Macaca fascicularis: one gene and its partners. The protein of the gene in region 1 interacts with the protein of each later gene in a pairwise test. Links are inferred from orthologs where the notes say so. Each region holds a gene or a part of one and is shown in the gene's direction. Other genes may lie near its edges.

Region 1 (3,941 bases):
ACTAATTTGGCTCCTCAGGTGTTGTTTTTTGTTTGTTTGTTTGTTTGTTTTTCCCAGACAAGGTCTCACCCTGTCGCTCAGGCTGGAGTGCAGTGTCATGCAGCCTCCGCGGTTCAAGCGATTCTCGTGCCCCAGCCTCCTGAGTAGCTGGGACTACAGGTATGCACCACCATACCCTGTTAATTTTGGTATTTTTAGTAGAGATGGGGTTTCACCATGTTGGCCAGGCTGGTCTCGAACTCCTGAGTTCAAGTGATCCACCCACCTTGGCCTCCCAAAGTACTGGGATAACAGGGGTAAGCCACTGCGCCCAGCCTCCTCTTATGTTGATAATAACAATAGCTTGTGTGTCCTGCCCATTTACTAAGTGCCAGGCACTGTTCTCTCCTAGACCAAACGGTAGTTAGGCTCCTCTGAGTCCTCAGCTTGACTAGGCCTTGACTTTGGACCTCTGTGTCTTCCTGTCCTTGCTGGGCCTGAGCCTGCATAAACCAGTTTCAGCAAGAGTCCTGCTAAGTTAGCAAGAACTCCCCCTTCCTTGATGTCTCCTCCCAGGAATCTTCCATCCCTGGTTCCCTCACTCTGCACTTTAGCTATAAATCCCTCCTGGGTCCTTGTTGTATTCAGTGTTGAGCCCAAACTCTCACTCCATGGCAATAACCCTACAGCAAGTCTTGAACAGTACTGGTTTAACTGTCCCAATAACGTTTTCTTTAGCAACAGCGGTTAGCTCATTTACTCTCACAAGGATCATATGAGGTAGGTATCCTAAATAGCCCATTTACACAGGGAAGTGGGAAGGAGAGAGGGTGCCCCCAAGGACGAGACACAAGCTGTTGCCACATCAGCACTTTGCGCCTGGACGGTACCCCAGTTGTCCTGGCTGCAGGCAGTCCCCACAGCCCGCTTCCTGGAGTATTAGCCAGGCAAGATACGCCCTGGGCGACAGAAACTCCGACTTTTGCCAGAGGCCCCCAGGTACTGCCTGGGCGGTGGCGGGAGCCTGGAGCTTGGCGGAAGGCGCGCCTGCCGACGCCGTCTCCTAGCAACCGAGCGGCGGTCACGTGACCCGCTCCAGCCCGCTTCACGTGGTCCGGAGCGGCGCTGGGGTTGGAGTCGCCGCAAAGGGCGGGGCGGGGCCGGGCAAGTTTGTTCCCCGAGTTCGGAGCCCAGGAGCCCCCGCGGCTGCCGCGCAGGTGCCCTCGGCCTGGGTCGAGATGGAGCTGCCTGCTGTGAACCTGAAGGTGGCAACGGGCTGGGGATGGGGGGTCCCCTTTGCGGGAGGAGGTGGGACATTTGCATTTTCCAGGAAGGTGGGAGGATCGGGAGTTTGGGGGAAAGAGGGATGGGAGGAAGGGAAGGTACAGACCTCACGCGAGAAGGAGGTGGGCAGGCAGGCCACAGCAGGGAGAGTGAGTCAGGCACAGGCCAGCAGGGCGACGCAGAGGGGCCGTTGGAGGTGGCAGAGGAGGGCAAGGGCCGCCCCTTCCCGGACTCAGACCCTCCAGCAGGCAGCGCTGGTCCCAGGATTGCTGTTGCCCGCATGCCCAGAATTCCCCTGGAGGAGGAGGAAGGCGCGCGGGAGGGGCTTGGAGGCGGCTCACCTCCCCCGCGCGGGGTCAGGGACTGGGCCTGCCCCCGGATCCCAGCACCGTCCCAGGACCTCCTTATTTGCTAAGTCGGGTTCAGGAAATCTGATGTTCCCAAGCAATTGGTTTTATTTTATTTTATTTTATTTTGTTGAGACAGAGTCTTGCTTTGTCGCCCAGCCTGGAGTGCAGTGGCCGGATCTCAGCTCACTGCAAGCTCCGCCTCCCGGGTTCACGCCATTCTCCTGCCTCAGCCTCCTGAGTAGCTGGGACTACAGGCGCCCGCCACCTCGCCCGGCTAGGTTTTTGTATTTTTTAGTAGAGACGGGGTTTCACCGTGTTAGCCAGGATGGTCTCGATCTCTTGACCTTGTGATCCGCCCGTCTCGGCCTCCCAAAGTGCTGGGATTACAGGCTTGAGCCACCGCGCCCGGCCAGCAATTGGTTTTATAAAATTTACACGTCCAGCGCCCTTATTTCATAATGAAGAAGCACAAACTCCCACAGAAATTACTTAAAAGCAGAAAACCCCAACTTTGTGCACTGGGGAAAACGTTGCAGGGCTTCCTGTGGTGTCTTCATTTCCCGAGCCAAGCCGTGAGCTCAGTCCGGGTCTGGGTGCCAGCGGCTGTTCTTCTTTTTCTCCCCACCCAGCACCGTCGCCCACGTGTCTGGGCTCCGTTTGCATGAGAGGGGCTAGGAGCTTTAGCTTTGGTCAGGAAGGTGTGGACCTTGGACCAAACCGGCCATTTTGGGTCTTAGTGCATCCTCCTTTGAGGCAATATCTAGGAATGTCCTCTTACTCATAAGTGACGAAGCATTTAGCTCCCTGTTGGTGTCTGGCAGTAAAGGAACCTGAGAGATAGATGGTTACAAAACAATGGCTTAATACACTTTATTACACAACATCTGTGCTGACTTGCCATGGGCCCGTTTCCCTTCTTAATCATACTTGCTTCAGCAAACCTTCCTGAAGCTTCCAGTCCACGGTGGTGGGGAGACATGGCTGGAGCAGGGAAATGGGCTTGGGTGGAACATTCAGCTGGGAAGAAATTTACGTGACAGCAACCGAAGTTTGTTGGTATCAGTACCCACTCTATTCCAGGCAACATGGGGTTAACACCAACTGCCTTTTCTCTGATGAGGGATTTGCTTAAAATAATTGCTGAGAGAGGATCAGGTGAGGGCGGTGGGAGGGATAGAGCTCTCATTTATGGGCTTCTGTGGTGTGCCAGGTTATATAATCAAGGCAGCCTTATGAGAAAGCTGATGTGGTCATCTTTTTACAGATGAGCAAACTTCAGCTTAGACTGGGTAAGTTGCCAAGGTCCCACAGGCAGTAAGTGGCAGTATCAGGATTTGAACCCATAGGGCTCAGACTCCAGGGCCAGGTCCTTTCTGGGGTACCAGCTTAGTTAGGGCTGACTTTAACCTTGGCTGTTTCTGTCTTTTGGGAGGGCTTAGTCTCTTAGGGGCTTTTTTGAGCAACTTTTTAGGCCCGACAGGCTAAGCGCATCCACAAGTATGAGCTATGCTGGGCAGCTCAGCCAGGATGAAAAGGCTGGTCCTCCCCTTGACTTGGCAAACAAGATCCCCCATCTCCAAGGGTGTCAGCCGCTACCAGTCAGAGACAACTAAGTGCTGGGTGGCCCTGAGGGGTCAGGGTTGCCAGGTCAGGTACAGGAGATCCAGGTGAATTTGAATTTCAGGTCAACAACGAACAGTTTTTTAGTATGAGTAAGTCTCAGGCAGTATGTGGAATATATTAACAAATTATTCATGATCTCATATTGGGAATTAACTGGGTGTTCTGTATTTTTGTTTGCTGAATCTGGCCATCCTGTGGAGAGCAGCCGTTGACTCCTTGCTTGCAGGCACTTAGGGGATGTTCTGAGATCAGAGCCCTTCAGGAGGTGGGGAACTGCTCCCTGCGGCCTGCGCTCCCTCATTTTGTATATTCCTTGGGCAAGGGCTGAGTGCCCGCTTCTGCCCAGCTCAACCAGAGTGGGCGGTGGTGCCAGGTGAGAAGAAACAGCTGCCCCAGGCCCTTTGCACAAAGGGCAGCCCCTGACTGAGCCTTGTCCATGTAAGAATGACATTGTGGGCCAGGTGTGGTGACTAAGCCCTGTCCATGCAAGAATGACATTGTGGGCCAGGTGCGGTGGCTCACTCCTGTAATCCCAGCACTTTGGGGGGCCAAGGTGGGTGGATCACGAGGTCAGGAGATCAAGACCATCCTGGCTAACATGGTGAAACCCCGTCTCTACTGAAAATACAAAAACAAAATGAGCCGGGCATGGTGGTGGGCACCTGTAGTCCCAGCTACTCGGGCGGCTGAGGCGGGAGAATGGCA
Region 2 (4,114 bases), on another chromosome or scaffold:
AATCAGCCACAATATACTGGGTCAAAAAAGACCTCTTCAGCAAGATTGATGGTCTGCAAACTTGACTTAACCCTTGCCTTGCATGGCCATAGGTCTTATTTATAATTTGGTACCTTACTACCACAGTCTGTTAGTCTTATGATCTCTACTTTAACATTAATGTTGGTCAGTTGTCTAAATGCCAAAAGGGGCTATAACAAGGGGTGTTCAACCTCCCTTTCCAGAATGGCTGGGAACTCAGTTTTTAAGGTTTCTCTGGGGTCTCCTTGGCCAAGAGGAGGTCCGTTCAGTGGCTGGGGGGCTTACAATTTTATTTTTAGTTTACGAACACAAACCAAAGTAATTATTTATTTTTATTTTATATTTTTTGTTTTGTTTTTGGAGACAGGGTCTTGCTCTGTCAACCAGGCCGGAGGGCAATGGCAAGATCTCTGCTCACTGCAACCTCCACCTCCTGGATTCAAGCGATTCTCATGCCTCAGCCTCCCTAGTAGCTGGGACTACAGGCGTGCGCCACCACTCCCGGCTAATTTTTTTTTATTTTTAGTAGAGACAGGGTTTCGCCATGCTGGCCAGGCTGGTCTCCTGACCTCAAGTGATCCACCCATGGAGGCCTGGGATTACAGGCGTGAGCCACCGTGCCCAGCCAAAGTAATTATTAACTCCACAGAAAATAAAAGGCTGTGCAGGAAGTAAAATTAATCAAGTCCATATACAGACCTCGGATACATTTTGTTTGCGCTATCCCGCACTTTATTTTGTAATTAAACACCACTATTTAAAAATCAGGAAAATTGCACATAAAAATCCAGAATTTTAGACGTAAAAAAAAAAAATTGCTAGGTCTAGATAAACTGCCTGCATTTACTCAAGAACAGCTTCAAGTGCAGCTGCAAGTGGGCGCTCTGGAGTTCCCCAGTCTCCACTCACTCGCCCTCCCACACCCCACATGCCTCAGCATTGCCTATCCCACTCCACCAGCCCAGTCTTTCACCGCCCTAGGAGCTCTCCTACGCCTACGCAAGCTGGGAAGGATCGCGGGACAGCATGGACAACAAAGGGTCGTCTCCCGCACTCCGTATGAGGATTAGGTACTGGTCGCGGGGCAACCGAAGCCTTTCTTCCTATCACCTAACGCTCCACTTGAGCCCTCAGCAAAGACGGTACCCGCCGAAAAGGTGTGGCCGGAAGCTGGAGACGTGGCTTCCGGACGGGCGGCGCGAGGCTCGCCTCGTTTCCGCCGGCGCTCCGAGTGACGTAGGAAGCGCGCCGCGCACCTCATGGTTCCGGGGACAGTTAGGGCGGCGGATGGAGGTCAGCGGTGGTTGTGACGGCGTAGGTCTTGTGGCACGGGGAGAAGGGGCGGCTGGGCGTGGGTTTCGAGGCGTGGCTGGGAAGGTGTCAGGGGTCCTGGGATGCGGTGAAACTGGGGAGCAGGTTGGGACGCGGTGGGATGCGGTGTGCCTGGCCGTCCGCTCGTTCCGTGCTGGCTTGCCAGTGCGCACGCTTCCTCTCTCATCTAGCTCGCGCGGCCGGGCCTGGAAGACGCCGCCCCTGTTGACCGTCCATGACCCCAGCGAGCCAGTTTTCGTGACTTAGTGCAAGTTGTTTTCTCTCTGCATTTTAGAACTAAAGTTTTGGATTTTTGTTTGCCTAAACCCAAGTCCGGTTCCTGGGCTTCCGTTTACTCCGCTAAACTGCTCTTAGGGCTTTTAAAAAATCGGAAAGGAGGCTGGGCGCGGTGGATCACTTGAGGTCATGGTGAAACCCCGTCTCTACTGAAAATACAAAAATTAGCCAGGTGTGGTGGCGCAGGCCTGTAATCCCAGCTACTTGGGAGGCTGAGGCAGGAGAATCGCTTGAATCCGGGAGGGGGAGGTTGTAGTGAGCCGAGGTCGCGCCATTGCACTCCAGCCTGGGCGACAGAGCGAGACTGCGTCTCGAAAAAAATAAAATAAGTCGGAAAGATTTCTCCACTGTACTTAGGCTCAGAAAGTGGTAGATGTTGCGTTTGGGCAAATACTCCGACTGAGATCGCTCTCTTTTTTTTTTTTTTTTTTTCTTTAAGTGGAGTTAGACCAAGCTTTTTACAGCTGCAGTAATCCCCTCATGTAAAAATAAATGTGCTGGCCATATACCAAGTTCCAGGAAGTGGAGAAAGTTCAAACGTACATTCTGCTTTGGCAGAAATGAGGCCCGGGTGAACGTTTTAGCTTGCCCTTGTCATGTGTGTTCCCTGGGTCATTTAATCGCTGTAGGGAGCTAGAATAGCTAATAGATTTTTTTTTTTTTTTTTGAGACTGAGTCTCGCTCTGTCGCCCAGTCTGCAGTGCAGTGGCGCGATCTGGGCTTACTGTAAGCTCTGCTTTCTGGGTTCACGCCATTCTCCTGCCTCAGCCTCTCGAGTAGCTGGGAGTACAGGTGCCCGCCAGCATGCCCGGCTAATTTTTTTGCATTTGTAGTAGAGACGGGTTTTCACGGTGTTAGCCAGGATGGCCTTGATCTCCTGACCTCATGATCTGCCCGCCTCGGCCTCCCAAAGTGCTGTGATTAGTGATAACAGGCGTGAGCCACCGCCCCCGGCCGATAGAATTGTTAAAAGCACATTGCTGGAGATGGCAACATTGAGTTTGGCCTTGGAAGGATGAGATGTGTTTTAAAGGGCCTGATCGGGGGAGGAGGAGACCCGGGTAACAAGTCCTGTAAGGTGGGGTGGAAGTGCAAGGCCTGTTTAAAATGGGGCCTTGTGTTGTTGGGAGGCAGAAAAAGGGCTAAGACTGAAAAAATCATTCTGGGCCATGTTATGAAGTGCTGCTTCTTATTGGTTCAGAGTTTTTGCTGTTAGAAATTTGGTAGGGGGGAGTTTAGTAGGCTAGTGATGTAATCTACCTTGGTTTCGAGAGGCTCACACCTATGTCTGCAGTGTTAAAATATATCCACAGAGGCTTTGGGAATGTGAATTCTTCCTTTTTTTTTTTTTTTTTGAGATGGAGTCTCACTCTTGTCACCCAGGCTGTAGTGCAGTGGTGTGATTTCGGCTTACTGCAACCTCCATCTCTGAGGTTCAAGCAATTCTTGTGCCTTAGCCTCCCAGGTAACTGGGATTACAGGCATGCACCATGATGCCCAGCTAATTTTTGTATTTTTAGTAGAGGTGGAGTTTCACCATGTTGGCCAGGCTGGTCTCAAACTCCTGACCTCAAGTGATCCACCCGCCTAGGCCTCCCAAAGTGCTGGGATTACAGGCGTGAGCCACCATGCCTGGCCAAGTCCATAATTCTTTTTTGAGACGGAGTCTTGCTCTGTCGCCCAGGCTGGAGTGCAGTGGCCAGACCTCAGCTCACTACAAGCTCCGCCTCCCGGGTTTAAGCCATTCTCCTGCCTCAGCCTCCCAAGTAGCTGGGACTACAGGCGCCCGCCACCTCGCCCGGCTAGTTTTTTGTATTTTTTAGTAGAGACACGGTTTCACCGTGTTCACCAGGATGGTCTCGATCTCCCAAAGTGCTGGGATTACAGGCTTGAGCCACCGCGCCCGGCCCAAGTCCGTAATTCTTAATCCTAGTTACCCTTGAAATTTAAAAAAAAAAAAAAAAATGCTGTCTGGGTCCTGTCTGCAGAGATGCCATCATTTAGGAGACCTTGGGCAGGACCTGGGAATCTGAATTGTTGAACCACATCCTAGGTGATTTCAAATTACAAGCAGGATGAAAACCTTCCCACCCAGGCTGTAATGCTCCTGAGTTTTGATATTTCATGGCATTCTGTACTGAAACAAAAATCCTGTGAGATTTTTGCTTCAGAAATACTATTACATGCCTATGGATTGTCAAGAAAGACAGTCTGATTTTACAGATAGGGTGGCTTTGACTCTATTTCATTTGTCAAATTTGTGAGTCAGGAACTGCCCCTGTAGTAGCCCCTTCTCTCTCCTTTTTCTCTTCAGGGTTTGGAATCAGTTGCTAGGAGTCTTGTCTCTCTGCCACCCAGGACGTTATGGCAGCTCACCTGGTAAAGCGATGCACGTGCCTCCTGAGAGAAGCTGCTCGTCAGGTCCCTGTCATGGCTCCAGTTGGCCGACTGAGACTTGCCAGGGTAGCCCATAAGACTCTGACTT
Region 3 (3,976 bases), on another chromosome or scaffold:
CTCAGTCTCTTCCCTTTGATATGGGAAAGGAGTTGTGGCCAAAATTCCCCCCATCTTCTTGCACCTCAACCTCTGCGGCTCAGGGCTAGGGTGGCAGAGGGAGGCCTTCACCTTATATCTGCGTGGTTATCCAGGGCTCCAGACTTCCTCCTCTGCCTGCCCCACTGCTCCCTCTTCCCCTTCTCTTTCTCCTTCTGGGCTCTCCAGCCCAATCTTGGCTGCTCTTCCCCTCGTGGGGTCATCCCTCCACTCTGACTATGGCAGCAGAATACCAGGGCCTGGTCCAGAGGATTTCATGGTGATCATTAAAAAAGAAAAATTGCAACCAATCTGCCTTGGCTTCAGGAGTGTGTCTTTCCATTCTTTCCCCTTCTCTGTGATCAGGGGTGCTTGTGTCTCAGAATTTCTTCCAGGTCGGTCCCACCTGGGACCTACCTGGTGGGTGGATTGGGGGCCTCACTCATGGGAGTATGGATTACCTTAGGTAGCAGGAATGGGTTTGTTTGGGTCTTGAAAACGTGTAGGAGTTTGACAAAGCGAAGAAGACAGGTGTGCAAGGCTGAGAGGCCTGGAAGAGCATGCAGTGCTGTGCGAACAGCACAGAACTTAAGTGCAGGAGCAAGATGGGGCTGAAGAGGCAGCTCCTTCCTGCCTTCCTGGATCGCTGGGGGGCTGAGTGCTGCGCAAAAGTCTCGCCATTCCCTGTGGGACGGGGGCGTTAGTGGGCTTATCAGCAGGGACAGGACAGGCTCAGAGTCACTTAGGAAGAGAATCAGCGGCCCGGGATAGGAAGTGACTGCTGGGGTCCTCCTGCTGGCTGGTGATGAGCTAGTGAGTAGTAGTTCTGGGGAAAATCACCAGCGCCGGGATGTGGGGAGGGAGGCAACAAGACTGAATTGGTTGACCAGGAAGGCCAACCCATCTCCTTAAAGTGCCCTTCGCTGGTGCGTGAGTGAATGCAGTCCCCGACCTCCTTGACCTCGAGGAACACAGGACGCAGCCGGTAGTACGGCCAGCTCAGCTCGCTGCTCCTCTAGCCCTGTAGGAGGTGCTGTGGGGACAGCCTGGCGACCGCGCATGCGCAAAACACCGTCAGGAAGAGGCGCCAGGGACTGGGGGTGGGCTCCCGAACCCGGAAGCGAGGGAACCCACGTGGGAGCTTGGGAGGGGACGGTCGTAGCTCTCTAGTCCAGTTGTGGGGAATGCGGCCTGTTTCTTCCTGTCCGAGAGAGCTCGGCGGAGGCAGTTGTCGAGTACCCTTCACCCCTGTGTTGGGAGCCTGGGAGCGAACTGCGGCGTGGGTTACCGTTCCCGGGGACGCAGCAGGGGGCATCGAGTCCCTGGCGGGAGCTGCGCCATGACACTGCTCTCGACCATCCGGGGCGCGACCTGGGGTCGCCTCGTCACCCGTCATTTCTCCCATGCAGCGCGGCGTGGGGAGCGGCCTGGTGGGGAGGAGCTAAGCCGCTTGCTGCTGGATGACCTGGTGCCGACCTCGCGGCTGGAGCTTCTGTTTGGCCTGTCCCCGTGTCTCCTGGCTCTGCGGGCCGCCCGCCGCTCCGTGGCCCGGCTCCTGCTCCAGGCGGGTAAAGCTGGGCTGCAGGGGGAGCGGGCCGAGCTGCTCCGGATGGCCGAGGCGCGGGACATTCCAGTTCTACGGCCCAGACGGCAGAAACTGGACACAATGTGCCGCTACCAGGTCCACCAGGGTGTCTGCATGGAGGTGAGCCCGCTGCGGCCCCGGCCTTGGAGTGAGGCCGGGGAGGCGAGCCCAGGCGACGACCCCCAGCAGTTGTGGCTCGTCCTCGAAGGGATCCAGGATCCCCGGAATTTTGGGGCTGTGCTGCGTTCCGCACACTTCCTCGGAGTGGATAAGGTCATCACCAGCCGGAGAAACAGGCACGGACGTCCCTCATTCTCCATGTGCCCCAACTTGGAGATGCAGCCAAGTTCCTAAGCACCTTGGCCCTTGGGTGATCCCTTAGCCAGACTCACCTGTCCCAGAACTCTCACGCCTCTAGCCCTTGGGAGCCCGGGGAGGGTAGGGAGCCGGGCTTGAGATGGCCCAGCCTAATGCGGTGAATGGGGAAACCTTGCAGCTGCCCGCTCACTCCAGTAGTCAGCAAGGCCAGCGCGGGGGCTATGGAGGTGATGGACGTGTTCTCCACCGATGACCTCACTGGATTTTTACAGGTAATGAGGGGCAAGAGGGTAAGGAACAGATATGAGCCCAGTTCAGCCTCTTCAAGGGGACGAAGCTAGCTCCTGGCGAGGGAGAGAAAGGGGCCTGTTGGCATCGCTTCCTTCGGCCTTCCAAATCCCTCTGGGGATGGGAGGGTCCTGGAGTATTTAAAACGGCAATTGGAGCATTATCTGAATTCTTCCTATCGTCATACCCTTTCCTGCACCTCTTCCCAGATATGCACCACTTTGCCTCTTCTGTAAGTCAGCCTCAGTGTCTCCTTGCCTACTAGGTCGGGCTTCAGTAAATGCATTTTGTTGGTGGACAGGATGCTTGAGTTCCTCGAATAGGGCACAGCTTGAAAGGATGTTTGAACAAGGAGATCAGTATGCCATTAATACCTAGCAAGGGACAAACCTTGGAAGCACCCCTCTCCCATCCGTCTTCAGCTGTGCTTCCCTCGCTGGACACAAGGGGGCAGTATTGCTCCGCATTTGGAATCCCCTCTGACCATACCCACTGCCCCCAACCCCCACCCCATCTGCAGGGTGAGAAATTTCCCTCTCAAGAAGTGGGAGAGCTCTGGGGCGTGTCTAGAGAGCAATGCTGTCCGGTTAAAATGTAGTGCGAGAAACATAGGTAGTTTTAGCTTTTCTAGTAGCCACATTGAAAAGTAAAGAGATGACATTTTAAATAAATTGTACCCAGTATATCCAAAATAATATCAATTTAACATGTAATCATTTTAATTATTGTTAATATTATTAATTTTTTGAGAGAGTTTCGCTCTTGTTGCCCAGGCTGGAGTGCAATGGCACAATCTTGGCTCACTGCAACCTCTGCCTCCTGGGTTCAAGCGATTCTCCTGCTTCAGCCTTCCAAGTAGCTGGGATTACAGGCACAGGCCACCATGCCGGGCTAATTTTTTTGTGTGTGTTTAGATGGGGTTTCACCCTGTTGGTCGGGCTGGCCTTGAACTCGTGACCTCAAGCGATCCACTCACCTCGGCTTCCCAAAGTGCTGGGATTACAGGTGTGAGGCACCGCACCTGACCTTTTAAAAATATTATTAACGAAATATTTTACATTCCTTTAAAAAATGTTTTACATACAACACACCTCAATTTGAATTAACCACCTTTCAATTGCTTTATAGTCACATGTAGCTAGTGGCTACTATATTGAACAACACATATCTAGAAGCAATTTTTTGGCGTCACCTTTTTGTAGGGAGCCCCTTTCTCCAAGCCAGATAGGAGATGAGGTTCCCACTCATCACTTCCAGCCCCTGAACAGGTAGCGTCTGAAAACACAGAAACACTGCAGAACATCCACTTAAGCTCCCGTCGTCACATCTCCCTACTGTGTCTTCAGCGTCTGGCCTGGAGAGTGTCGTCCGCCTGCTGCTGTGGAAGAGCTGGAGGTGCCCCAAGCAGGGGCTTGTGCTGGGGCCCCATCCCTTCCTGGGTACTCAGAGACACTGCTCTAGCAGTTTTCCTCCTCTCTCCTGCATCATCCACTTTTCTCTTACACTCTCTTCAGCATGCAAACAAACATTCCCTTCTCACGCTCTTGATCTCACACCAGTCAGCCCCTCCTCTCACACTGAATCAAAGGCCTCGTCAAGGTCATGGGTGACCTCCATGTTGCTGCATTCCAGGGTCTGTTCTTAATTCTTTTCTGACTTGGCCCATCTGCAGCAGCTGGCACAGCTGACCACTCCTTCCTCCTTGAAACACTCTGCACCTGCTTTCCTTCTGCTTCACCATGTCCTGAGGCATTTTTAGTGGTTCTT
Region 4 (3,500 bases), on another chromosome or scaffold:
GGCTCAGTCACTGCCTTTTTCACACTCAGAACATTCCAGAAGAATGTACCAAGGCCCTGTGCGCTTCCACGGAAGGCAGTGTTTACAGGCACTGGCCCCGCCTGATGTGTGAGCCAAACACAGGAGCAGCAGGGCCTCAGCCGCCTCCTTGGGGTCGAGGGAAGTCCCATTCCAGCTCAGGTTTCCTGTGAGCTCTAGTGGGGGGTTTATGTGTGTGTGTTTCAGCTCAACTTCAAAAAAATCCCCTTGATCAGTAATGACCAGACCTCCATTCACAGCACATCTGCTGTCTACCTGACACCAGCAGGGTCTGTGCGTGTTGAAGCATGTGTGGAGGTTTACATGAGTGAGATCATTATGGCCTTCATCTGGAGTTCCCTTTTTTTTTTTTTTAATTTTTTTATGGAGATGAGGTCTTGCCATGAATTCCTGACCTCAAGCTGTCCTCCTGCCTTGGCCTCCCAAAGTGTTTGGGATTACAGGTGTGAGCCACTGTGCTTGTCCCTATCTGGAGTTCTTAAGGAACACTAAGTCCACTCTCTGAGCCTCTTCAGTGAACTTAGAGTCCTGCCATGAAAAAGGTTAGGCCATTTCTTATACAGTGGCATAAAGCGTTTATTTTAATTAAAGGAATAGGACCGTGTGCAGGTGGGAGCCGGCCGCTGAGCTCTGTGCTTCTGCCAAGAGGCTCTGGCTTTGAGGCGCTCCAGCTGCCTTTGCAGACCACTAGAGGGCACCAAAGAATGCCTGGGAAGGCCCTAGTGGCTTCAGGCGCTCCCTGGAGCCTCCTGGAGCAAACTTTTTCGGGCCCTGCTCTGCCTGGAGACAGGGTTTGCCACCCACATCAGCCTAGGGACAGATTTGAAGGGGCCTGAGGCACTAAGAAGGACAAGGACTGTGTCCTCTGACCTGCTGTGTTTGTCCCCAAAGTGCCCATGAGGAGTGGGGTGCGGGGCGTGCCACGTAGTTAGTGGGTGAGGGTGGGATGGTCTGGCCTGCATGCCTTTCCTAACTACCATGTGCACGGGTTTTGAACATTCTAAATCTTACTGACTTCCAAGATGGTCTGCGGCAGGGCAGCACTGGGATATGTGAAGACCTGGTACGTTTGTGTGAATCTCTGCTCTTACTTTGTAGTGAACTTGTGTGTAAGAAAAGTCTGTGTTTATCTTGTTCTGTTTATTTTTATTTATTTATTTTGTTTTGGGGGCAGGGACAGAGTCTTGCTCTGTCGCCCAGGCCTGGAGTGCAATGGCACAATCTCAGCTCAGTGCAACCTCCGCCTCCCGGGTTCAAGCGATTCTCCTGCCTCAGCCTCCCGAGTAGCTGGGACTATAGGCATGCGCCACCAGGCCTGGCTAATTTTTGTATTTTAGTAGAGATGGAGTTTCACCATGTTGGTCAGGCTGGTCTCGAACTCCTGACCTCAAGTGATCTGCCCGCTTCGGCTTCCCAAAGTACTAGGATTACAGGTGTGAGCCACAGCGCCCGGCCTATCTTGTTCTGTTTAAATGGTTTTCTCAAATGCCCACGAATGCCAGGCAGGGATCCCAGGCAGCAGAGACCTCACGATGCCAGTCTGGTGGGCCACAGCCTCATCTGCATTCCATGTAACCTATGCAGGTCCCTGAGGGAACTGAGTAAATGCTTCACAGACCAAGAATGTTGCCGTTGCCATCTGCCTGCAACCCGCCAATAAGCGTGAGGTCGTGTATGGCCAAGCCTCTCCTCCCACGCTATCCAGTAGAAGGCCCTGAGTCTCTGGACCCTGTCACTCATCACGGCAGCAAGCTAACATGCTCTCGTGTGGCCTGTGTTGGACTTTTCCTTGTGCCCTCTGCAGCCACCGTTTTTTGAATGCCCACTGTATGCCAGGCACAATGCCAGGTTCTTACGCTTATTTGCCGGGTTGCTGTGCTGAGCCTTTACTCACATTATTTCATTCAGCTTTCATGCCCTCTAATGGAAGTGCCATTAGTATCTCCATCTTGCATCTGAGAACACTGAAGCTTAGTTGCTGAGGGTCATGCCCCAGCTCACCTGGCTGGTAGGAGTCGGATTGGGTCAGCCAGAACCTGAGCTCTGCTTTATTTATTTATTTATTTATTTATGAGACGGAGTCTCACTCTGTCACCCAGGCTGGAGTGCAGTAGTGCAATCTCCACTGACTCCAGCCTCCACCTCCCAGGTTCAAGCGATTCACTTCAGCCTCCCAAGTAGGTGGGATTACAGGCGCCCGCCACCACTAATTTTTGTATTTTTAGTAGATACGGGATTTCACCGTGTTGGCCAGGCTGGTCTCGAACTCCTGACCTCAAATGATCTTCCCGCCTCAGCCTCCCAAAATGCTGAGATTATAGGTGTGAGGCACCGCGCCCACCCTGAGCTCTGCTTTATGCTCAGATCTTTCTTCTTCTTTTTTTTTTTTTTTTTGAGGCAGGGTCTCACTCTGTCACCCAGGCTGGAGTGCAGTGGCAGCATCACAGTTCACTGCAGCCTCAGTCTCCCAGGCTCAAGCGATCCTCCTGCCTCAGCCTCCCAAGTACGTGAGGACAGGCATGCACCACCATGCCTGGCTAATTTTGGGGGGGGAGTTTAGTAAACACAAGGTCTCACTATATTGCCCAAGCTAGTCTGGAACTGTTGAACTCAAGCAATCCTCCAGCCTCAGTCTCCCAGAGGGCTGGGATTATAGATGTAAGCCACTGTGCCCAGCCTATACTTGTTGAATCTTTAATGTTCATCCCAAACCCTAAAGGTAGACATTACCCCCATTTTATGGAAAAGGACACTGAGGCTCAGAAAGGTGCTGTGACCTGGCCAAGGCCCCCTTGCAAGTGAGTGCAAAGCCAGGACTCGAACTGTCCCCCAGCTTCTGTCTCCCCCCGGGCCAGGCTTCCCCCGAGCTCCTCCCTGCCCCCAGCCCTGGCCTGCAGCTGCATGGGCTATTTTCATCTCTCCTGTCATTCCAGCAAAACCACTGGGCCAGTGAGTCAGTCTTGTGGTTAAGGGAGGAAGGGTACTGCTGGGAGCCCGCAATGGAAGAAGTTTCTTCAACGGGTGGCCACCGGGCCCTGCAGTACCCCTGCACTAAGGGAAGAGCCACGTTCCTCTAGGCCTGCCCATGGCTTTGGGAAATCAGTGCCCTGGATAAGCCACCAGCCTTCCCCACAAAGGCTTGGGAGTGGCAGTTGAGAAGCGTTCACTGCCAATTCACTTGGACCCCCTTGTCCTCCCCACCCAGGTGTCGGCGGTGCCCACTGTACTGGCCATGAAGAATGGGGACGTGGTGGACAAGTTTGTAGGCATCAAGGATGAGGATCAGTTGGAGGCCTTCCTGAAGAAGCTGATTGGCTGACAAGCAGGGGCGAGTCCTGGTTCCCTTGCCCGCATGGGACCCCAGTAGAACTCAGCCCTTCCACGCCAGCCCTTCCTGCTGCCTCCCTCCTGTCTGGCCTCTGGGGCCTGTGCTTAGAGCCCGGGCTCCAGCCCTGAGTGCT
Region 5 (3,133 bases), on another chromosome or scaffold:
CTCAAACAACAACAACAGCAACAGCAATAACAAAAGCTGCCTGAGACTTGGTAATTTATAAAGGAAAGAGGTTTATTTGATTCACAGTTCAACATGGCTAGGGAGGCCTCAGGAAACTTACAATCAAGGCAGAAGGCGAAGGGAAAGCAAGGTACCGTCTTCACAGGGTGGCAGGAAGAAGTGCCAAGCGAAGGCAGGAAGAACCCCTTAAAAAACCACCATATCTTGTGAAACCTCACTATCACAAGAACAGCAGGGGGGAACCCGCCCCATGATTCAATTACCTCCACCTGGTCTCTACCTAGACATGTGGGGATTATGGGGATACAATTCAAGATGAGATTTGGGTAGGGACACAAAGCCTAACCATATCACCCTGTTTCACAGAGGCCAAGTTTTCCTGGGTCTTCTACGTGGGCTGTGGTACCTTCACCTTACACCTGCTCACGAGTGAGGTGTTGCCAGGACCTGATGTTGGTGTGGATGGAAGAGGCTAACGTTTCAGGGGCTGGAGAACCCTCGACCGAAATCCTTATGTCTCCCAACACCCCCTAGGCCTCCTGATCCTGGTGACAAAGGCCACCAGGCTGGAGCCCCCACCAAAGCAGAGATGCCACTGAACTCATTATATCAGATGAGGATGTGGGTATGTCTGCCTCTCTGCAAACCTTTCAGAATTGTGATTCTCTGCTGTTTACCTGCCCTCGGCATATGCTCCAAACTGCGGCCCAGGATTCTGAGCTCCCACCCGCCCCTTCCTCCCTCGGGACCTGGAGTTCAGGACCCCAGCTCCTTCCTCCTTAAGCCCCAGGAGTTCTAACTCCCAAGCCCCCTCCTTTAGTAGAGACCCTAGACTTGGGGCCTTCCTCTTCCAAAATGGAAGACTGCAGAACCCACAGGAAAGCATGACACATCGCCAACTGTCCCCTCCAGCCACATCTCCCCTCCCACTTAACGCATACCCCAGCCCGATTGGCTTCCTCCCACCTCAGGGCCCCCAAGCCTCTCTCTCTCTCACCTCTTCCAGGAAGCCCCAACTTGGTGTTGAAGGTTCCAGGGGTGGGAGCTGTAGAACCTGTGACAGAGGCAAGTTCTAAACCACCACCCAAACCACTGATGATCTGACACCCTCAGTGCCCTCCCCCACCACACACTAAGCGGGGAACCGGACCCCGGGGAGGGGAGGGAGGACGTTGCCTGTGCAATCCAGGAAGGGAGGGTATGTGAAAAGCCAGTTACCGGGAACTGTGTGAAACCAAACCAGCCTCATCTGACAAAGCACACGAACCCTCACTGCCCCGACTGCTTGCTGGTCTCTCTTTGTTGAGCTCCAAGGACCCAGGAGTCTGGGTGCACAGCCTCCTTCCCTCTGAGATTCAACAGTCTGATCAGCAGCCTCTTCCTCCTCCAGGACCCAGAAGCCCCGTGCTCACCCCCATGGAGCCCTGCCGGTCCCTGGCCCTGCTTGTGGGCTTCCTGGGCCTGATGTTCTGCCTGATTGCTTTGAGCACCGATTTCTGGTTTGAGGCTGTGGGTCCCAACGACTCAGCTCACTCGGGCCTCTGGCCAACGGGGCATGGGGACATCATAGCAGGTAAGGGGAATGGGTGTCCTGCGGAGGGGTTGCCAGTGGGGATGGGTGTTCAGTGGTCTTCTCTCGATCAGGCTACATTCATGTGACGCAGAGCTTCAGCATTCTGGCTGTCCTGTGGGGCCTGGTGTGCGTGAGCTTCCTGGTCCTGTCCTGCATCCCCTCACTGTCCACCCCAGGCCACGGCCCCCTTGTCTCAACCATCACAGCCTTTGCTGCAGGTAAGGACTCTGGACTGGACTGGGGCATCGGGAGTCAGTGAATTCCTGCCGAAGGGTTGAGCTATCTCTCTTGTCCTTGCCCCCAGCCCTCTCCATGGCAGTGGCCATGGCGGTGTACACCAGCGAGCGGTGGGACGAGCCTCCACACCCCCAGATCCAGGCCTCCTTCTCCTGGTCCTTCTACCTGGGCTGGCTCTCAGCTATCCTCTTGCTCTGCACAGGTGACTATCCTGTCCACTGCCCTGGGGAGCTTGGGAGGGCCAATAGGGGGCCCTGAGGATGAAGGGCAGGGGCAAGTGCTTAAACTCTTTCTGGCCTCCCAGGTGCCCTGAGCCTGGGTGCTCACTGCGGCAGCCCCCGGCCTGGCTATGAAACCTTGTGAGCAGAAGGCAAGAGCGGCAAGATGAGTTTTGAGCGTTGTGTTCCAAAGGCCTCATCTGGAGCCTCCGGAAAGTCTGGTCCTACATCCGCCCCACCCTTTCAGCCCTTCCCCAGCCCCTCCGCTTGTTTCTTCATTCATTCAACAAAATTTGGCTGGAATCTGGCTATTCTGAGATTAATTCTGCCAAGACCTAAGCCAACCGTCTGCCAGCTCCATGGTAGGAGCTGAGCACCAAGAGAAGGTGACAGCCCACGAGGCCGACCAGCCTGCAGGGCGCTCCTGCCCAGCACAACTGCCTGGCCTGTGTGGATACAGGCTCCAACCTGGGTCTATCTCTCCCCTTCTCCAGCACTTTTCTTTCTCCCTTTAGCTGGCTCTCTTTCCTTCTCTTTCCCTCTCTGATTTTGTACCCCTTGCCAAAACTCAGCCCTTCTTTGCACGCAGTCTCTCTCAGTTCTTTTTGCACATTTCCCCATGCTGGGGACACTAGCACGGGTCAGACCCAGGACCTGCCTGCCAGGGCCTCAGTCTGTGGGGTGGTGGGGAGGAGGCACTTACAGACCAGAAGCAGTTAATACAGGCCAGACAGCAGTCCCAGTGCAGGGAGAACACCAGAAAAAGACTAACCATATTGTGGAGGGATGGAGATGACTTTTCTGGAGAGAGAATGTTTAGGGGCTTCTTAAGGGCCAAGGAAAGGTAATATCCAGGCAGAGGGGCCTGAAGATGAACGTGCAGAAAAGTCAGGAGTCTTGTGGGAATGAAGAACGGTAATGTATGGCCAGGATATAGAATGTTGGGGGCAGGAGATGGAAAATGAAAAGGGAGAGGCAGGTGGGGGTTATGGCCTCTAATGTCATGCTGGATTTTCTCTTGAGCATGATGGGAAGTTGGGAAAAAATTGGAGGCAGAGGAGGGACAATATCAGCTCTGGGTACC
Region 6 (4,247 bases), on another chromosome or scaffold:
AATTTGAATAAATAACAATTTATATGTCTAAAAAAAAAATGCCACCGATAGCCAGGCGTGGTGGCTCTTGCCTGTAATCCCAGCACTTTGGAAGGCTGAGGCTGGTGGATTGCCTAAGGTCAGGAGTTCGAGACCAGTTTGGCCAACATAGTGAAACCCCATCTCTACTAAAAATACAAAAAATTAGCTGGGCGTGGTGGCGGGCGCCTGTAATCCCAGCTACTCGGGAGTCTGAGGTAGGAGAATCGCTTGAACCCGGGAGGCGGAGGTTGCAGTGAGCCGAGATCGCCAGGCTGCACTCCAACCTGGGCAACAAGAGCGAAATTCTGTCTCAAAAACAAACAAATGCCACCAATATACGAATTTGGGCATTACATTTCCAACATGTGAAATTTGAGGGACACATTCAAACCATAGCAGAGGGTCAAATCAGTTAATAAACTGCAACACCAGTACCTGTGCATACTAAGGGCCATATACACGTTAATCATTATCATCATCCTTTCGTTGGAAATCACTGAGGCCAAAGGAGTGGGTGAGACCGCCCAGAAACGAAGAGGGCTGAAGACAGTCTTTCAAGAAGTCAGCATCTCAGGTTCTTGTGCCGGAGAGGTAACAAAGAAACCAGCCGGGGGACTGGGCAGCACAGCTCTGAGGTCACCGAAAGGAGAAGGATGAACTTCTATAATGGCTGATTGTGTTTGGATGCTAAGGAGAGGAGAGGCAGGCATTCCGCTGAGAGAGGGAGGGATGCGTGGGGCAAGGCGGGGACGGGGAGCTGGTGTAGGCGGGAGGAGGGCAGACGGGTACTCTGGTCTATCCCCGCTTCCAGGACGCATCTTCTGGGAGGGGGGCGCGGAGCATGGATGGCGAGTATGGGGAACTCAGAGAGGGACAGTGTCTTGTCACAGGAAGGGAGGGTCAGGAGGGAAATTTGAAAGGAAACGTCTCTGGGAACCCAGGGCTCCGCACTGCCAGGCCCTGGCTCCTTCGGACAAAACCACTGAGCAAGAAAGAAAAGCCAGACCCCTTGGCAGGATGGACAGGGTCCCTGCCCACTGCGGGGTCTGAGGCCTGAGCCAGGAGGCCTAGATCCCAGGACCTCCGCCTCCACCCCAGGGATCAGAGCAGCCTCAACCCTGTGCGCGCTCCAGGGAGGGGACCCGGCGTGCGATGCGCGGGGGCTGGGCGGGCAAGGGCGGTGGCCCGGGCGGGACGCATAATACAAAGCCCGGAGCCACGAGGCTGGCGGCCTGGAGGGGGCCGGAGAGATGAATGGGGACGGCCGGGCCAATCCGAGCGCAGCATTTACAGCCGCGACAGAGAAAGCCAATCGGATCCCTGGGGCGGGGACGGGGGCGGGGACAGAACCAATCAGCTGTGAGGACGGGGCCTGGGGCGGAGCCGCGCAGAGTTTCAAACCGGCTGTGGTGGGCGAGGAGCAGCTGTGCTGGGCGTGTGATCCGCGTTGGTGCTGTCGGGTGAGTGCGGGCGGGGCACAACAAATTTCGTTCTTGTTCCCCAGGCTGGGTGCAATGGCGCGATCTCGGCTCAAAACAATTTTTTTTGTTCAGAGGGGAGGGCATCGGGTTCGGACACGCACGGCCTGTGGAGGCGTCTGGGTACTACAAGCGTCGGATCAAAATCGGGGCGTCTGGTGGGAAGGCCGGGATCTGCGTGGGGGCGCGTTTGGTCTGGGCGAGCTGGTGAAGGAGATGGTGATCGTGTCCTGGGCCCAGCGCTGAAGCTCGGCTACGGCGTGTCTTGACCCCGCCTCCCCTCCTCGCCTGAGCCAGAGAGAGGAAGGAGGTTGGGATGAAAAGACAGCTGTTTTGGAAACTTGAAGTGCGGGACAGCAGAAATGCTGCTGACCCGAGACCTCTCTTCCAGGAAGCATCCTCCTTCCCGCACCCACACTTGCCAACTCGCCCGCTCCCCGCTCGCCCTCGCCACCCCGCTGCATCCCATCTCTTCCCCTGTGTCCAGGGTCTCTGTGGGGCCTGGAAATGGGGATGGGGAATGCCTTGCTGACCTGCTTTTTTGCCCTCCTCCCCAGGGTCTAGTGGACAGAGAAGACTCTTGGCCAGACAAATGGCTTCTCGGTGGCAGAGCATGGGGACCTCTGTGCGCCGGAGATCTCTCCGGCACCAGGAGCAGCTGGAGGACAGCAAGGAGCTGCAGCCTGTGGCCAGCCATCAGGAGACCTCTGCAGGGGCCCTGGGGTCTCTGTGCAGGCAGTTCCAAAGGAGGCTGCCCCTGAGAGCCGTCAACCTCAACCTCTGCACAGGCCCCTCCTGGAAACGCCTGGAAACCCCAGAGCCAGGTCAGCAGGGCCTCCAGGCTGCAGCTCGCTCAGCTAAGAGCGCTTTGGGTGCCATGTCCCAGGTAATACTGACAATACTAATCATCTTTTTAATGGAGTGTTTCCTTGGTGCCAGACAGTTCCTGCCCTCAAAGAGCCTCAAGAATATAGACTCCAAGAAGACAGGGATTTTGGTTAGTTCACTGCTGTTTCCCCCGCACCCCAAATAGTTCCTGGCACATATAGGCGCTCAACAAATAGTTGAATGAGTTAGTGAAAACATGTCTTGGAGGAAACAGATGCTCACAATACCAGGTGATAAGAGCTGTACGTGATAGGAAATTGCAAGCAAGTGGCCAATAGCGAGGGCTCGCCAAACACAAACTTAGCCGGTGAAGGCTTCCCAGAGGAGATGATTCCAGAGTTCACCCAGGGAAGCAAAGGTCAAGGGGTATTTAGGGTAGGAGAAATAGTGCAAGTCCAGAGCCCCTCAGGTCCAAGCCTAGAGCTGAGGGAAAGCAAGGTGTACTGCCAACTCAGCCGTGTACCCCTGAGGAGAGCCAGAATTGTAGTCTGGGTATGAGCAGAGGACAGAGAGCAAGGTAGAGCCGGGAGAAAGGACATGAAGGAGCTTAGACTCTCCCAGGAATGATCAGGAGTCTGGAGGATTCTAAACAGTGGAAAGTCTGGTCTCATTAGCATATTAGAATTTGTCCTTTATCTACGTGATGGAGAACGGAATAGAAGCAGAGGTGCTCCTGAAGGAGACTAAGGATCTGGACTTGCAGAGGATAAACTTCAGGAGCTGCTGAGAAGGTCAGTTAGAGGGGATTTGCTGTCAAATGAGAGGTGCTGGCAGGAAGATGTCCTTATATTGGATGTAAGCGTCTATGGGCCCTTCAACCGATGCATCTTTAAACCCAGAGCTGGAGGTGTAGACGTGTCACTTAGAAAGGACAGAAGCCATTAGGATGAACAGACCTCCAGAGAGAGGACTGGGGGCTGCAGAGGTTTCTCCTCGGTGTCTCATTGGGAATTCTGAAGACGAGAGAATTCTCCAGAAAGAGGGTGGCTCTTTCTGGACCCTCTGCAGAGAGTTCTCTGAGCCAAATGTTAGTCTTTATTTGGAAGAACTTTTTGATTGTTTTCGCCACCCTCAGGGATCAGAGAAATGAAATGAATTTGTCCAAGGTCACGTAACTCATCAGATTTAACCTGGGCTGGGCTCCAACCCCTGGGCTCTGGCTTGCCAAGGCAAAGACAGTCGAGCTGATGAAGAAGAGCCTTCACAGCCGTCACCCAGCTGGTGTGAAAGGCCCAGGAGTTGGGGCTTGGTCCTATGTGCAACAAGAAGCCATAGAAGGGTTTCGAGCAGTTGAGTGTCACAGTCAGAACTGCCCTTTAGAAGGATCACTATGGACCACTGTAGAGGGTGGATAGAGTGAGTGAGACCCGAGGCAGGAAGACAGGCGCTCTCCTGGTGTGCAGGGGGTGCTGGGCGGGGGAGCCTGCTCTACTCTGGGCCCTCTCCTTCAGTCTTGGGGTCAATCTGTGTCTGGAAAGAGAGTTTGGACTTAGACAAACAGGCTCCAGGCACCAGGGGGATCCTCCTGCTGCTGACTGCTGCTGTCATATCCAGGAGCTCTGAGCTGGGTCCCTGCCATGGACTCATTCTACGAGGAGTCAGTCACATCCTTCACCCTGGATACTAAAACAGCCTGTATTTACAGGACACTTGGTGGGTCTAGGGATCGCTGGTAGGGTCTGGAGACCAGGGTAGTTTACCCTTGGGTTTTTTGTTGTTGCTTGTTTGTTTGCGAGACAGGGTCTCACTCAGTCGTCCAGGCTGGAGTTCAGTGGCACGATCTCGGCTCACTGCAACCTCCACCTCCCGGGTTCAAGTGATTCTCATGCCTCAGTCACCCAAGTAGCTGGAACTACAGGC
Region 7 (4,279 bases), on another chromosome or scaffold:
AATAAAAATGTCTTCAGTGTTGTACCTTGTACTTGGCCTGTTACCACAGGAATGACACATATTCCATTTTCAAGACATTACTTACGGCTTTATAGATTTCTGCTTTAAGGAATAAATGCAATTTCAATCCATTTAAGACTTGATTTCTTCTTCTTATATTAAAAAAGTATCTGATCTTGTATCTAATTTGTTATGACAGTACTATCACTTAAAGTACAGCAATTATGCAACCCCTGAATTTGAATTTCATTTTGCAAGTGTACATGACCTCACGGACAGAGCGAAGGCAGAAAGTTAAAATGAGCATATCGAAAATAAATCACTCTCGTGACCGAAAAGAACGTAGAGTACCTGAACAAAATGTCAAAGCTCGCATAGGCATAGATACTTCCATGTGAACTTTAGGAATCTTGGCTCATCTAACTTTTGCAGGGCTGAGTGGATCCCCTACTCCCGCTAGCCGTTTTGGGAGCACCAGTAACCTCCACATCAGGACCGGGCTGTCAGGGGCCGCTGCGGCGCAGGGACTCGTCCGGGACTGAGTCAGCGCCGAGGCCGAGAAGTTCGGCGGGAGGCTCAGGGCGGGGCTTCCTCCCGCCGACTCCGAGCCCGGCTCTACTTTTCTGAGTCCACGTCTCTTCCTTTGGACAGGCGTGTTTCCCCAGGTCGGGCCCAGCCAACGTGACAGCCGCAGACCTCGGAAAAGGGCGCTCCGGCCCCGCCTCGAGGATTTCCCCCGGCCGCTAGGGCAGCCTGGGCCCGCTCGGCCCAGCCCCTCACGGACTGCGGCGCGCGGCTCCCCGGGGCCCGGCCCGCCGAACGCCTCACTCCACAGCCCTCACCTCGCGGCGCCGAGTGTAGCGTCCGCGGCATGGAGACCGGCTCCGACTCAGGTCAGAGGCCCGCGCCGGGGCCGCGGTGGGCTGGCTCTGCGCGCGCGCTGGGGCAGTTAGGCCGGGCCGCCCGCACAGGCCGCCGCGTGCCGAGTCCGCGCGGGGAGCGCACGCGGGGCGGGCGGCGACAGGTGGGCAGGACGAGCCGCGAGCGAGCGAGGGCGGGCGGGCGGGCGCGCGAGGGGCCCGGCGGGGGGGCCGCTGGGAGGATGGCTCAGCTCTTTCTAAATATAAAACCGGCGTGAGTTGGGCGAGTGCGGCGCGGAGTCGCAGAGCCGCCGCGCGGGCCTGGCGCACGGGGATTCGGCCGCACAGACGGCGGCGGCGGCGGCTCCGCAGAGGCGCGAGGCTGCGGGAGCGCCCGAGTCGCGAGCTCGCGGGGGCAGCGAAGAGCGACGCTCGCGACGCGGAGGACGCAGGCGGCGGCGGCGGCGGCGGCGGCGGCGGGCGGGCGGGCCTCGAGGCACAGCGCGGTCCGCGCCGAGTGACCGGAGGCGGCTCGCGGCCCCTGCCGCACCGCGAGCCGCGAGCCCCCCGGCCGCGCCCTGCCCCCCCAGCCCCTCCTTCGTTCCCTCCCCGGCGCAACATGGCTGCGGCCGCCGCCTCCGCCTCCCAGGATGAGCTGAGTAAGTGCCGCGGCCGAACCTGGGGCCGCGAGCCGGAACGGGCGCCGCGCGGTGCCGGGGGGCGGCGGCCGCATCTGGGCTGGAGGGCTGGGGCGCCAGGCCCGGTGGGCGGGCGGCGGCCGCGGCGTGCGGGGAGCTGGGGCGCCCTGGCCTGGCTGGCGGGCGGGGCGCGGACCGTCGCCGCTGGCGTTTGTAGGCCTCAGGTTTGCACCGTCACGTTGCGAAATTGAAACTGGAGCCCCGGGCGGAGCCACCTCTGCCCGCGATCCGCCCTGGCCCGGGGTGGGGGGAGCCCGGCCCCCTGCCCACCGAGCCTCGGCTGGCGGGAGGGCCGGAGCCCCGGGGTGACGGGCAGTGTCCACCCGTCCCATCTGACCCCTCCTAGCCCCGGGTCCCCGACGGTTGGGCGAGTTCTAGAAATGGAGCTTTCGGGAAAGGGGAGAAGGTGCCTTTTTGTGACACTCTAGTAATCAGCCGAAAGGTCACGAATAGGCGGTGACCCTCAGGTGGAGCAGGGAGGGCGGAGAGGGTCGCCGGTCGAACCGCAGGAGAAACCACGGGGTGACAGCGCTTTCAGAAAGGAGAGTTAGTGCCCCCTCGAGCGTACGCGGTGCAGCCTTCCCGGGGACGGCGGTCCCTGTCTGGGGAGAGCGGTGGTCACCCTGAATCCCAGGCCGCCCCGCCCGCCGCCGGGGTTCGCCTCGATGCTTTGTGGGAAGTGTAGTTCCGGGGCGCCGCGGGCCCACGCTGGGATCATAAATACCGAATTTTCATAGGACATAGGACATGTGAGATAATTTCTGATTGCCTTTTGAGTTTTTTTTTTTTTTTTTCCACCCAAGGGTTTTCTTTCCTTCCCCCCCGCCCCCCCGCCCCAGTGCTGTCCTTCAGTTTATGGCAAAAACAAGAAAGGTGTTATTTGGAGATGATGTGGGTTTTAAATGGAATAAAGGAATAAAGCATGGGTGAGGTGTTGCAAGCTTTATGAAGCTTACGTTGTTAAAGCCGCTTCTGAATTTCCATATGAAAGTAGTTATACACGTAATGTATGGTTTCTCTAGTGCTTGTCAGTTTAAAGCCACTTTTATATACATGATCTCACTTTTGCCCTCATAGCAACCTTGTGAGGCAGATAGGTAGGAATTATCCTTGTTTTAAAGAGGAGGCAGGTTTGGAGAGATTAAGTTCCTTGCTGCTTTGACACAGAACTGGTGGAGCAGGAGTACTGTTTGCTCTTTTTGAAGCTGAAGTAAACACTTGGTGTGATCCTCAGCAGATTGGAGAGTCGGAGGAGACAAGGTCTCATGGTGCGATTAGAGATAGAAGCCGGCTAAATAGATTGCTCTTTTGTCGGTTCCACGTGGAAGCACCACCAGGCCTTCTGAGATCAGTTCCATGTTTTGTTTTAATTGTGATAAAAATACACATACCATAAAATTTCCCGTCCTAGCCATTTTTAAGTGTATAGTTCAGTGGGATTGAGTGCATTCACACTGTTGTGCAATCATCACCACCATCCATCTCCAGAACTCTTCATCTTGCAAAACTGAAACTTGATACCCGTTAAACAACAAATCTCCATTCCCTCCTCCCTTCAGCCCCTGGCGACCATCATTGTACTTTGTGTCTCTGTGATTTTGAGTATTCTTCGTACCTCGTGTAAATGGAATCATACAGAATTTGTGACTGGTTTTATTTTCATTTAGCATAATGTCCTCAAGGTTCATCCATGTTGTTGCGTGTGTCAGAATTCTTCCTTTTAAAGGTTGAATGATATTCCCTTGTATGTATATACCGCATTTCCTTGTCCATCTATTTGTATGTGGACACTTCGGTTCCTTCCACGTTTTAGCTATTGGGAATAATGCTGTTGTGAACATGGGTGTACAGATATCTCTTTGAGACCTTGCTTTCAGTTCTTTTGGGTACATACCCAGAAATGTAATTGCTGGATCATGTGATAATTCTAGTTAAAAATTTTTAAGGAACCACTGTACTGTTTTTGACAGTGGTTGTTGTACCATTTTACATTCCCACCAACAATACACAGGGTTCTAATTTCTCTACATCGTGGCCAACGCTTACCCTTATTGTCAGTAGTAACCATCCTGATGGGTGTGAGGTGGTCTGATTTTTTTTCAGTTGCTGTGCTGTATGACATCTGAGTTCCTGTTGTAGCACCAAACACATTAAAGTCTGAATTGCTAGCAGGAATGGGGAACAAAACTAGAGGAAGAATTGGATATTCTGAAGTGGCTGAAGTGTTTGTGTCTGTGCAGTGTGCTTCTGTACATTCAGGTACTGGTTAAGATGCTGTTAGTTAAGGGATTTCCTGGCTCTAGTAGCTAAGAAAGTTAGGAACAGATCATTCCAATCCTTGCCTTCTTGTTTTGTTCAGTTAAGTTGTCAGTCATCAGCCACAGATACCTGTGGACTTGGTTTCTGTATTTCTTCAGGAGAGACTGAATACGTGGCAGTTGATACCTTAGAATAATTTAACTTGAAAGCATATACGTGTGCACTGGTTAAGAAGTTTCATATTGGCCGGGCGCGGTGGCTCAAGCCTGTAATCCCAGCACTTTGGGAGGCCGAGGCGGGCGGATCACGAGGTCAGGAGATCGAGACCATCCTGGCTAACACGGTGAAACCCCGTCTCTACTAAAAATACAAAAAACTAGCCGGGCGCGGTGGCGGGCGCCTGTAGTCCCAGCTACTCGGGAGGCTGAGGCAGGAGTATGGCGTAAACCCGGGAGGCGGAGC

The links.
Region 2: the proteins of AGTRAP (region 1) and TBRG4 interact in binary tests that used the Homo sapiens proteins (3 or more experiments, as listed by UniProt). The two-hybrid records come from large-scale screens. The link is inferred for Macaca fascicularis from reciprocal best matches to the Homo sapiens genes AGTRAP and TBRG4.
Region 3: the proteins of AGTRAP (region 1) and MRM1 interact in binary tests that used the Homo sapiens proteins (3 or more experiments, as listed by UniProt). The two-hybrid records come from large-scale screens. The link is inferred for Macaca fascicularis from reciprocal best matches to the Homo sapiens genes AGTRAP and MRM1.
Region 4: the proteins of AGTRAP (region 1) and TXN2 interact in binary tests that used the Homo sapiens proteins (3 or more experiments, as listed by UniProt). The two-hybrid records come from large-scale screens. The link is inferred for Macaca fascicularis from reciprocal best matches to the Homo sapiens genes AGTRAP and TXN2.
Region 5: the proteins of AGTRAP (region 1) and NKG7 interact in binary tests that used the Homo sapiens proteins (3 or more experiments, as listed by UniProt). The two-hybrid records come from large-scale screens. The link is inferred for Macaca fascicularis from reciprocal best matches to the Homo sapiens genes AGTRAP and NKG7.
Region 6: the proteins of AGTRAP (region 1) and PIMREG interact in binary tests that used the Homo sapiens proteins (3 or more experiments, as listed by UniProt). The two-hybrid records come from large-scale screens. The link is inferred for Macaca fascicularis from reciprocal best matches to the Homo sapiens genes AGTRAP and PIMREG.
Region 7: the proteins of AGTRAP (region 1) and ECPAS interact in binary tests that used the Homo sapiens proteins (3 or more experiments, as listed by UniProt). The two-hybrid records come from large-scale screens. The link is inferred for Macaca fascicularis from reciprocal best matches to the Homo sapiens genes AGTRAP and ECPAS.

What each region holds. Positions count from the first base shown.
Region 1 is NC_088375.1:223,073,610-223,077,550, reverse strand, and holds the start of AGTRAP (type-1 angiotensin II receptor-associated protein), read left to right. Parts: upstream 1-1,141; 5' UTR 1,142-1,217; coding exon 1,218-1,244; intron 1,245-3,941. UniProt on the Homo sapiens protein: Appears to be a negative regulator of type-1 angiotensin II receptor-mediated signaling by regulating receptor internalization as well as mechanism of receptor desensitization such as phosphorylation.
Region 2 is NC_088377.1:85,230,245-85,234,358, forward strand, and holds the start of TBRG4 (FAST kinase domain-containing protein 4), read left to right. Parts: upstream 1-1,314; 5' UTR 1,315-1,335; intron 1,336-1,523; 5' UTR 1,524-1,600; intron 1,601-3,943; 5' UTR 3,944-3,993; coding exon 3,994-4,114. UniProt on the Homo sapiens protein: Plays a role in processing of mitochondrial RNA precursors and in stabilization of a subset of mature mitochondrial RNA species, such as MT-CO1, MT-CO2, MT-CYB, MT-CO3, MT-ND3, MT-ND5 and MT-ATP8/6. May play a role in cell cycle progression.
Region 3 is NC_088390.1:44,403,804-44,407,779, reverse strand, and holds the start of MRM1 (rRNA methyltransferase 1, mitochondrial), read left to right. Parts: upstream 1-1,176; 5' UTR 1,177-1,357; coding exon 1,358-1,899; intron 1,900-2,099; coding exon 2,100-2,193; intron 2,194-3,555; coding exon 3,556-3,648; intron 3,649-3,976. UniProt on the Homo sapiens protein: S-adenosyl-L-methionine-dependent 2'-O-ribose methyltransferase that catalyzes the formation of 2'-O-methylguanosine at position 1145 (Gm1145) in the 16S mitochondrial large subunit ribosomal RNA (mtLSU rRNA), a universally conserved modification in the peptidyl transferase domain of the mtLSU rRNA.
Region 4 is NC_088384.1:15,201,912-15,205,411, forward strand, and holds part of TXN2 (thioredoxin, mitochondrial), read left to right. Parts: intron 1-3,244; coding exon 3,245-3,358; 3' UTR 3,359-3,367; exon of another isoform or gene 3,368-3,500.
Region 5 is NC_088393.1:59,178,279-59,181,411, reverse strand, and holds NKG7 (protein NKG7), read left to right. Parts: upstream 1-1,251; 5' UTR 1,252-1,437; coding exon 1,438-1,594; intron 1,595-1,665; coding exon 1,666-1,812; intron 1,813-1,898; coding exon 1,899-2,033; intron 2,034-2,135; coding exon 2,136-2,194; 3' UTR 2,195-2,633; downstream 2,634-3,133.
Region 6 is NC_088390.1:6,485,932-6,490,178, forward strand, and holds the start of PIMREG (protein PIMREG), read left to right. Parts: upstream 1-1,447; 5' UTR 1,448-1,481; exon of another isoform or gene 1,482-1,622; intron 1,623-2,056; 5' UTR 2,057-2,091; coding exon 2,092-2,385; intron 2,386-4,247. UniProt on the Homo sapiens protein: During mitosis, may play a role in the control of metaphase-to-anaphase transition.
Region 7 is NC_088389.1:46,626,813-46,631,091, forward strand, and holds the start of ECPAS (proteasome adapter and scaffold protein ECM29), read left to right. Parts: upstream 1-1,479; coding exon 1,480-1,519; exon of another isoform or gene 1,520-2,210; intron 2,211-4,279. Other genes in the region: uncharacterized protein, read right to left, coding at 843-1,481. UniProt on the Homo sapiens protein: Adapter/scaffolding protein that binds to the 26S proteasome, motor proteins and other compartment specific proteins. May couple the proteasome to different compartments including endosome, endoplasmic reticulum and centrosome.